3 linked regions of the Cricetulus griseus genome follow. The protein of the gene in region 3 binds, or shares a complex with, the protein of the main gene of each other region. Links are inferred from orthologs where the notes say so. Each region holds a gene or a part of one and is shown on either strand. Other genes may lie near its edges. The genes, in order: Ppp4c, Ppp4r3b and Ppp4r4.

Region 1 (3,328 bases), on a different chromosome or scaffold from region 3:
GTGTCACCCTGGCTGGCCTGGAAAGTAACATGTGTTTTGAAGGATGGTGTCTGGGAATAGAGGGACTGTGCCTTTGTCCACTCTTTCAACCCACATTCTTTCTTTCCAGGTATGTGGTGACATTCATGGACAATTCTATGACCTCAAGGAGCTTTTCAGAGTGAGTGGGGGGATACTGGGACTTTGAACCTAGGGTGACAGAAAGCCATGATCATTGATAGGTCTTAGGCTGCATGGTCTGTGGGTGAGAGAAGGGGCTCAGCTAGACTCTGGTTGCTGTAGCCAGAGAGGATAGTTTGGGGCCAAGCAGAGTCGTATCCCTCCTCCCAGGTAGGTGGCGATGTCCCTGAGACCAACTACCTCTTCATGGGAGACTTTGTGGACCGTGGTTTCTACAGTGTTGAAACCTTCCTCCTCCTGCTGGCTCTTAAGGTGAGGACTCTTGGCCCCTGGAGCCTGAGCTTTGGCCACTACTTGCTGCCCTCATCACCTTTCCTGTCACCTACCTTGGAACTTTGCTGTGGCTGTGGACTGTGTGCTTAGCGGGGCTAGTCAGGACTGCTGCCATGAGTGGGGCCATCTCCTGAGCCCTTACAGAAGAGGCTGGTGATGTGAGTTTTGGAAAGCAGGCAGAGGCTGTGTGTTCAGGGAGCAGCAGGAGTTAAGTGAACTGGGAGAAGTCATAGTGAAGGGCCACATGGGGTGAGTGTGGGGTGCTAAGGACAAGAGCCAGAGTCTGGCAGTAGCTTCTGGAAAAGGCTCTCAGGAGCTTGTGAGGCAGGGACACCATGATTTATGTAAGAGACTGCGGGAGTCTGGGCCAGGCAGAGGACTGAGTGAGGCTAATGGATGTCTTGGAGACTTGGGATGGTTAAGTGGGAGGTAGAGACTAGAACCAGTTCTTGCTTGGTGCTACCCCTAGGTTCGATATCCTGACCGCATCACTTTGATCCGGGGCAATCATGAGAGCCGCCAGATCACCCAGGTCTATGGCTTCTATGATGAATGCTTGCGCAAATATGGTTCAGTGACTGTATGGCGCTACTGCACTGAGATCTTTGACTACCTCAGCCTGTCTGCCATCATTGATGGCAAGGTAGGTTGGCCCTGGATCTCCTGGGGGGAGGGGGAGGCTGTGCTGGGTCTCTGGGCTTTTAGTTCCTTCTCTCTGGTATCATTCTCCCTTCTAGATCTTCTGTGTGCATGGGGGCCTCTCCCCTTCCATCCAGACCCTGGACCAGATCCGGACAATTGACCGAAAGCAAGAGGTACCCCATGATGGACCCATGTGTGACCTCTTGTGGTCTGACCCTGAAGGTGAGGGCAATACCTGAGCTGGCTCTCCGTGTGTCTTGTGAAGACTGGATTAAGCAAGTGTATGAAGGGAAGTCAGGCAGGGAAGAGGAGGGCAAGTTTGGCCTGTACTGGCTTCTGCCTTCTCCTTGTGTGACTGGATCCTCCTCAAGGAGCAGAAAGCATGAATGGTGGTGCACTGAGGCCTACTGTGGGTTGGCTCATGAGTTTCATGGCTTAGAGGGTCTGTTCAGGATGAAACCCTTGGCTCCCTGGGGGGAAGAGGTCATAGACCTTGACAGTAGCTTCTTTGGAGGTGAGACCCATTCCCTTAGAACGAAGACCTCTGACGGTTCCTAATTTTGTGTGGTTCCCCTCTAGTTAGGGGCGGAACTGAGGTTTAAAGCCTGGCTTTCTGAGTACCAGTCCTAAGCATACTCTCTAATTCCACCACTGTTACTGCAGTCTGCGTCATGTGGCATAAGGTGACCTTACTGCCAGGAAAGTGGTTGGTCATGGCTGGTGCTCTGGGTGTGAGCACTTCCTATCACTTGAGTGCTGCTTGAACAGCACATTGTATGTTATGGCCACTGTGATGAGGAGGTAGGTCCCAGCCATGAAGCCATCTTTCTCCTCGGAGTGCCTCTGCTCCAGTATTTACTATCCTATCTTCCAGGGTTCCCTAGAACAAGCCTCTGGTTGATGAGGGGAAGAGGCACAGGCTTCTAATTCTGTGGTATAGTAGTCAACCAGAGGACCCCACACATTGTCCTTGTCTTGTCTCAGACACAACAGGCTGGGGAGTGAGCCCCCGTGGGGCAGGCTACTTGTTTGGCAGTGATGTGGTGGCCCAGTTCAATGCAGCCAATGACATTGACATGATCTGTCGCGCCCATCAATTGGTGATGGAAGGTTACAAGTGGCACTTCAATGAGACCGTGCTTACTGTGTGGTCAGCACCTAATTACTGCTACCGGTAAGCTGGCAGGACCAGGAGCCGGGGTAGGGGTAGGAGTAGGGATCTAGGCCAACTGTTGCTAACTGTGCTGTTCCTAAATCCAGCTGTGGGAATGTGGCAGCCATCTTGGAACTAGATGAGCATCTCCAGAAAGATTTCATCATCTTCGAGGCTGCACCACAGGAAACACGTGGCATCCCCTCCAAGAAGCCGGTGGCTGACTATTTCCTGTGACTCCTAGGCCCCAGCCCCTCTGGCCCTTGGACCACTGTGACTGCCCTCTGCCCAGTCGGAGGCCGGGTGTGGAGGGGCTGCCTGGCTTTGCTTGCCCTAGGGTGCGGACTGCTCTGGAGAGGTTGGGGCCTCCACTCCAGGCTTCCTCTCCTTTCTCCCATTTGATCCTTGAAGTTTCCAGTCATTTTTTTTCCTTTTTTTTCTTTTGTTTTGTTTTTAGATAAACATTTTGAGAAAAAAAAGAAAAAAAATTCTAATAAAAGAAGAAAAATAGTCTTGAGGGTGTTCTGTTACGTTTGACTAGGCCCTGAGGTAGACAAGGAGCCCTGTCCTGCTTGTCCACTAGCCCGGAGCCTTTAGGCTCCATCTGGTGATCTTTCCCAAAGGCTTGCTTAGTACTGGGTAAAAGTGAGGTTCCAGGACAGCCTTTATTCTTAAAACAACCATTGTGAAGAGATTTACCCATCCCCCTGAAGGGGGACATGCGCAGAGCAGGCTGCTTCACAGCCACAAGGGCAAGCATCTGGAAACGGGTCTGCCCTCAAAGCTGTGGCTCCCCAGCCCCACCCAGGGCCAACACCATTAGCCCAACGTTTCCTGAGCACTAATGTCTTTTGAGTTTTATTAACAAAAATACTCTGATCCTGAGAACAAGCTGGTGTGGCTTACACCAGTGATGAGGCCCCTGGGAGGTGGGGGCACGGGGCTGAGGCCCCCATTTGGCCAGGCAAAGTCTTCCCTCCATTCACACTGAGGTGAGAGCTGAGAAGGGGAAGCTGGCCCCAGCTGGATTCTGAGCAGCTTTGCCTGAGCTTTGAAGCCAGAGGGGGTGGAGTGAAATCA
Region 2 (3,654 bases), on a different chromosome or scaffold from region 3:
GAGTTTTCATTCCTATTTTCCTGAAATTGTTTAATCCATATGTCTTAGAATCTATTTCTAATAAACTGAAAATTTAAAGGTCACATACTTTCTTACTCTTACTTGTAAGTGTCTAGTAGTTGAATGACAGTTTTGGGTGGATCTTCAGGATGGGTCACTGTTGGTGATCATGTATAGATTCTATGTCACCACCAAGTCACTCACCAAACCACTATTGAAAATTAGGACATTTAAAAGTGAAATTCAAGTCTTGTGATTCACATTTGCTCATTTTTTCTCAGTGTCATTTTTCTTGGAGAAATGTTTTAGGATCATGTGTGGCATGTTGAACATTACAGTCAAGCAAGACATTCTTGTGATCTATTGTGAAACTGCAGTTTTCTATCATAGGAGTAATAATAAAAAATGAATACAAAAACTAAATTTTTTTCTTTAGTAGAATTTTTTACAAAATGTCTAAACAATGGGATGGAATTTTAAAATTTTGAAGATGACAGAATTGGAAAGTTAAAAGTAGTCCAAATGCCTTTTGTTACAGTTGAGGGAACTGAGGCAGCAGAAATGAAATTATTTTTCTAAGAGTGGCCACTTGCCAGGAGTATAATTTTGAAAAGGTGAAGTGTAGTTTAGCCTTGGAAGACAAGCAGCATAGTCAATTACCCTAGCTGTTGTCTGTTCTGCTGCCTCTCATGAGCTTTCTATGGACTTAGATCATTTTCCCTTTAGCATTTTGGTGAGATACTGATAAAATGAATTGAGTTCACACCACCCAATGCCTTTGATAGAGTTTGCAATTTTTTTTGGAAATTGATAAGCTTAATACACTGAATCTTCAACCTTAACATGTGTTTGTTCCATTTACAACAGTTTACTGCCAAAATAGAAAATGTGGAGTTACAGTTAAGTAGTTGATCCAGTTTGTATATACAATATAATCAAAGGAATCTGTGCTTATTATCTATTTAGATAAGACTTACACTATTTTGACAGCAGTTAAATAGGAAATCATTAACAATTACTGAACATATGGGCTTAACATTTGTTTTCTAATAAGCTCTCAAGGCTTACATTTTGTCTTTTTGTAAAATGGGTGTAACTTCATGATTGTGAGAATTATATGTAAAATTGTGGAAGTGTTCTTTGAAATTATGAAGTACTGTATAAAGCATTAAGACATAAACTAAATCCATTGCTTTTCAAATGTTCCTTATAGCCCCCTAAAGGGCTCCAGTGAATTGCCTCTCCTTGTTCCAAGTTTTCTGTGGAGTCCTGTCCTGGCTCATGTATAAGGAATCTAGGACATTTATTTTTAGAAGGTGATTTTGAAAAACCTTTTTTGATCAACTTTGGAACTATTCAAGTTTTTTTTTTTTTTAATTTTTTTCTCAACAAGTATTATATTGTTTTGTAAATACGAATTTTGTGCCTATACAGGAAGATATCAAGTCTCTTACTGCACATATAGTTGAAAACTTTTATAAAGCACTTGAGTCGATTGAATATGTTCAGACATTCAAAGGATTGAAGACTAAATATGAACAAGAAAAAGACAGACAAAATCAGAAACTGAACAGGTATTGTTTAAGTGCATTAACATTTGTAGAAAGCAAAATTAAGTATGAGATGGTCCAGTTGAAATCTTAGTATGTGAAATTTTCTATATTAGCATAGCCTTTTATAAGAGGATCAATTGTCCTTCTTGCCCCATCCATTATAGATAACTTACTTGATAGTGCATATATAGTAACTCAAGATGGATTCTTAATTTAGTGTACCACATGCAAAAACATTTGATGAGTTCTCTGACTACATTGTACATGGTGACATCATAGCTTAAAAGTATGTTAGTTCATCTTGGTTTATTTATCCTTCCCAAACTTATCTGGTCATGACCTTGTAGTCATTATTCAATATCTGTAATATATTTCTTACAGTGTGCCGTCTATATTGCGTAGTAACCGATTTCGTAGAGATGCAAAAGCCTTGGAAGATGATGAAGAAATGTGGTTTAATGAAGATGATGATGAAGAAGGAAAGGCAGTTGTGATACCAATTGAAAAATCTAAGACCGAAGATGATTTTCCAGATAGTTATGAAAAATTTATGGAGACTAAAAAAGGTACTAAGATCCTGAATGTTCATATAATACTGACTTTCTTAGTAAAACAGTCAGACTGCCTGAGTTTGATCCTGAGCACCATGCACACGCACGCACGCACGCACGCACGCACGCACGCACGCACGCACGCACACACACACCCATAAAAAATAATAATAATAAACTTTTACCTGTTTGGGAAAGTCTGGCCAAGGTTTGTAAAACAAACATAAGAATTTTATGCTGAGTCATACCCTTTTAAAATTTTCCACTTCCCAAGTGTTTTTTTGTTGTGTTTTTTTGTTTTGTTTTTTAAATTTTTTTTGGTTTTTCGAGACAGGGTTTCTCTGTGTAGCTTTGGAGCCTATCCTGGCACTCACTCTGGAGACCAGGCCGGCCCCGAACTCACAGAGATCCACCTGCCTCTGCCTCCCAAGTGCTGGGATTAAAGGCATGCACCGTCAATGCCCGGCCCAAGTTATTTTAGGTGTTCATATTTAATTAGTTTTCCTTGAAAGATGATGTCTTTGATGCTATTCATTTTGGGCTCAAATTTTTTCAATTTATACTATTATTTAAAGCCAGGTCTCAATGTGTATCCTTGTTCTAGCCTAGAGCTTACAGTTTCCCAATCTCAGCTTCTCACTATATGCTATAGTCACTGTACGTGCCACCACACCTGTCCTCTGTTAGCGATTTGTTGTCTGTCTATACGTCTCTGAGCAGACCAGTCTTGGCTTTGTTTCTTTATGACAATTTCATAGAGGATTTTTGTTATGATTAAATTGTTTGAGTGTTTCTATTATTAAGTAACGGAGACTATAACTAGAGCAGTCCACCTCTCATGTTTACAGCTGAGAAAGAGAGCTCAAAGAAGTAACTTTGAAAGTTCAGCTTTTATTAAAGTTGCTTAAAGAAAGATATAATAGGGAGAAGCTGGGCATGGTGGGATACACCTGTAATCTCAGCATTCTTGAACTAAGGTCATAGAAGCACTGTGAACTTGGCCAGGCATAGGAAGACCCAGTCTCCAAAAAAAAAATAAATAAATAAACCAAATAAACCCAGGTGTGGTGGCCCCCTCTCCTAACCCCAGCACTCTAGAGGTGGAGACAGGAGGATTAGAAGTTGAAGGTGATCCTCAGCTACAAAGCATATTTGAGACTTAGCCGAGGTACATTAGATACTACCTCAAAGGGGGAAGGAGGAAGTTTTCCTACTTGTTGTATAGAACTAAGATATTGCTTGTATCTTTCAAGAGAAATAATCAGTGTCCTAAAGAAAATCCGACCTGCTAATACTCTGTGAATGTTTAATAGAAATTTATATGTTGTAAGGCAACATTATCTCTTGGACGTATTTTTAATGTGGCTTATCCTACAGGTATTTCTTCTTTCTTAGAAAATTCATTCAGTTGACTAGTACCTTTTTTTCAGCCATTCCCCAATCTAACTTATTTCCTATTCATGAGTACCATGGATTCCACCCAAGAAGGGCAAAGAGATTATTGGAGTTCTAAAGAACATTATTTACTTTTTATTTATGTAATTGCTAGA
Region 3 (3,654 bases):
CAGCAACAGGAGGAAGAGCGGGAGGAAATGAAGGTCTGTGAAAACAGAGGCCAGAGCAGTGAAGCAGGGAAAACCCATTAATGCCAGTTCCAGTCTGAATCCTAGGGGTGCCCTCAATATTAGAGGCAAAAAGATTCATCCAATTATGTGCAGCATTGCTCCTGTATTTATCAAATTACTTCAATGATCATTCTGAAATATTTATACAAAATTATTGTCTATACCACAAAAATCTTCAGAGACCCTCCCAGTCCAGAAAAAATGTCAATAGTTCTAGTGAACCCAATCCTACAATTACACAACTGACTTTCATACCTCAGTCTTGACATTTAGCCCTCCAAATATTACGTTGTCATAGTGGCTAATATCCACTTGCCCAGAGCGAGGCCCCAGTCTAGGTCTAGGTCCACACTTGGTAGATCAGCTAGCTTCCTGCGGCTCAGTTTGCACAAGAACAAGAAACAACGTCTTTCACATCACCATTGAATTATCTACCCCAAATTTCTCCTCCCACAGCCAGATTTCTGGCATTATAATATTATTAAGAAAGAATTCATTTAGATGTTATAAGCATCTTACAATCAGGACTTAACATCAGTTAGTTGGGTGAGCTAAGGGCTACTTGTCAAGACAAATTCTTCAACTTCTATATATGTCAGTTAAGTTTTGAAGAGAGAAATGAGAAGTATGAAACATACAGCAGCACTAGATTCCAGGAGGGTTAGAGTAAAAGTATGGAAGGCATCAAGATGGAAGAATCATAAAACTCTAAACTCAACAAAAAATTCTGAATCAGTCTTTGCTCCTTATTAGTAATATGGGAAACAGTCTTTCAGAAATAAAGATCTCTGCACATGCAGTTTTACCTGTATCAAACATGTCAAGCATGTTCACCAAGGTTTCAAAAGCAGCAAGCCGCACACTGCCACTCTCATCCCCAGAGAGTTCTATTAATTCGGGGAGCACCACACTCTTTGTCAGTTCTGTCCTGCACAATAAGCAGTAGAAGAAAGTAAGTCAGACCAACAGCAAGAGTCCAGTGAAAACAAGTGATTATCCCAGATGGTCCCAGTGTCCCACGCTAGTCCCCAAGCATGCCATCTGGTTGGAAAAGCAGCCATAGTGTAAGAAATACAGGTTAGATATGGGAGGAGTCATGGGGGTTTGTGAGGGAATATAATTAAAACACTTCATGTGAAATTCTCAAAGAATTAAAAATATTTAAATAAATATTAATAATAATTTCATGATTAAATCAATTTTCATTTCACCTGTAAACTACTGTTAACTATAGAAATTTTAATGATTAGGACATTATATTAAGCTTTATAAATTATATCATTTTCAATTTTAAAGAAATTTCAAAAAGTGATCCAGCTAATTAAGAAAAAAGTTATTATAAGTATTGGTAGAAATTCAAGCAAAACCATTTGACCTAGATTTTGGGGCATATGTTATTTTTCTAATCATCTGAAACACAACATTATGATAGTTTCCACACAGAAGAATGACAGACAACACTGGATATTCAACATAAAACAATAAGGTATGAAAGATGCTTTTACAGAATAAACAACATTTAGAACATAGTCATAAGCAGCAAAAAGCCAGCACTTCATTCCTACTGATGACAAAGGTTCAGACTCAGATAATAGGGAGTCATAACATATTGTCAGCTTTCTTAGATACAATATGGAAGGCAGCATAAATTATACGTGGCGTATTTTATTGACAGAGTTTTTAACAAAAATAGCACAGGCAGGTGGATCTCTGAGAGTTCAAGGCCAGCATGGTCTTGTTCCATGCCAGTCAGGGCTGCACAGTGAGACCATCTCAAAAAAAAAAAAATGAACAAACGAATAAATCTCAAAAAACCACTAAAAACTGGGAGGGGTAGCACACACCTTTAATCCCAACACTGGGGAGGCACAGACAGGTGAGTCTCTGAGTTTTGGGCCAGTCTGGTCTGCTTAGTGAACTCCAGACCAGTGAAGGCTACACAGTGAGACCCTGTCAAAATAAATCAATAAAGCAAACCAAAAAAGCCTTCAACAGAAGATTGCTCCTTCAGTTTCCTCACACGGTCTTGAGCAAAATTTTCTCTTACGCTGTCTATAATTACTGCATTTGTTGTATGACAGACAGGGCATCAACAGGAACCTCAGCTGGACCTGTGAGGACAGGTCCTCCCCCACCACACAGCTAACAGCACACCTCTAAGCAAGTCATCTCTCTCTTCTGAACTCGGAGGGTGGCTGTGTACAACTATTCACTATGCATTTGAATTTTCTAGCCTATTTTAATTTTTTAAAAATTAATTGTAAGTTTATTTAAACTTTCATTCTCACAGCTTTTTCTTCTCAAGAATGTCACCTTGTTAAATCCTCTACCACATTGTATTAGTGTGAATTTAAATAATTTTAAGTGTTAAGGAGATAATTAATTTTCTCATTTCATTAGAGCCAAAAAGTTTTGGTGTTTGATTATTATAAGGAGTTAATGGGAACTTTAGGACATAGGGCATATTGGGAGTTTTCCAGACTCTGGAGACATGCCCTGGAAGCAGGAAGTCCCTTCTTCTCCACTTTTTGTTTCCTGGTGAAGAAATGATGGCCGTGTTCCACACACTCTCCACCATGATGTGCTGCCTTCCCAGAGACCCAACGGTTATGGGAAACCTTCAAATAACGACCCCAAATAACCTTTTTCTCCCCATTAGTTGCTACAGCATCTGTTACAGCAATGGAAAGCTGACTGACATGACTAGAAATAAGACACCATCACTTTTCAGTTGTCACACCATGAAGAATCCTATAGTCAGTCATATTTGTAAGAGGACAACAGGGATACTCAACAATAAATAAATATGCGTACATGGTCAAGAAATTGGTTCCTTAAATAGATTCTAACCTGCTGAAGTTGAGTATATTCTCTGCAATTTTGTTTTCATAAATTAATCCATAAAGAATAATCCTAAATTAATTTGGGGAAGACTAATTTGAAAATCCTTGCTGTGGTTGTTTGATTATGTTTGAATGCTTGGTCACCAGTTGGAACTGCTTGGGAAGAATTAGGAGATGTGGCCTTGTTAGAGAAGGTATGTCACCAGAGGTGGGCTTTGAAGTATAAAAAGGCCACACCAGGCCCAGTCTCTCTCTGCCTCTGGCTCTCTGTAAGTGTGTCTCTCTCCCTCCCTCTCTTACTCTCTCTGCCTGCTGCCTGTGGATCAGGATGTAAAGCTCTCAGCTACTGCTCCAGTGCCACACTTGTCTGCGTCCCACCATGACGACGATGAACTAACCCTCTGAAACTACAAGCAAGCCCCCAAGCAAATGCCTTCTTTTATAAGTTACCTTAGTCATGGTGTCACTTCACAGCAATAGAACCATAACTAAGAAACTTAGCCTTCCCACTTTTTAAACAGGAAAAAAAATGTCAGGTGGTTAAAAAAAAAGTAAACAAATAAATATTTCACATCTTTATAAAGTGAATAAGGCAGTAATACATTGTCCAGTCAAATTCTGATTCTGACTCATCAGGTTTGGGTGAGACTATTAACTATAGTCCACAGTAATCCAACAAGAGTAATGTAGCCTCAAAAGACTTATCAAAAATATTTCTGAGAGCAAAACAAAAGAACTGATTAGCAGACAT

What was found.
Region 1: Ppp4r4 (region 3) and Ppp4c share a complex: the UniProt entries of both Homo sapiens proteins name them as parts of the PP4 complex. The link is inferred for Cricetulus griseus from reciprocal best matches to the Homo sapiens genes PPP4R4 and PPP4C.
Region 2: Ppp4r4 (region 3) and Ppp4r3b share a complex: the UniProt entries of both Homo sapiens proteins name them as parts of the PP4 complex. The link is inferred for Cricetulus griseus from reciprocal best matches to the Homo sapiens genes PPP4R4 and PPP4R3B.

What each region holds. Positions count from the first base shown.
Region 1 is NC_048596.1:73,952,726-73,956,053, forward strand, and holds the end of Ppp4c (serine/threonine-protein phosphatase 4 catalytic subunit), read left to right. Parts: intron 1-109; coding exon 110-160; intron 161-330; coding exon 331-432; intron 433-922; coding exon 923-1,096; intron 1,097-1,190; coding exon 1,191-1,317; intron 1,318-2,079; coding exon 2,080-2,269; intron 2,270-2,355; coding exon 2,356-2,485; 3' UTR 2,486-2,727; downstream 2,728-3,328. UniProt on the Homo sapiens protein: Protein phosphatase that is involved in many processes such as microtubule organization at centrosomes, maturation of spliceosomal snRNPs, apoptosis, DNA repair, tumor necrosis factor (TNF)-alpha signaling, activation of c-Jun N-terminal kinase MAPK8, regulation of histone acetylation, DNA damage checkpoint signaling, NF-kappa-B activation and cell migration.
Region 2 is NW_023276807.1:78,078,806-78,082,459, reverse strand, and holds part of Ppp4r3b (serine/threonine-protein phosphatase 4 regulatory subunit 3B), read left to right. Parts: intron 1-1,434; coding exon 1,435-1,574; intron 1,575-1,934; coding exon 1,935-2,119; intron 2,120-3,654. UniProt on the Homo sapiens protein: Regulatory subunit of serine/threonine-protein phosphatase 4 (PP4). May regulate the activity of PPP4C at centrosomal microtubule organizing centers.
Region 3 is NC_048598.1:191,028,028-191,031,681, forward strand, and holds part of Ppp4r4 (serine/threonine-protein phosphatase 4 regulatory subunit 4), read right to left. Parts: intron 989-3,654; coding exon 867-988; intron 1-866. UniProt on the Homo sapiens protein: Putative regulatory subunit of serine/threonine-protein phosphatase 4.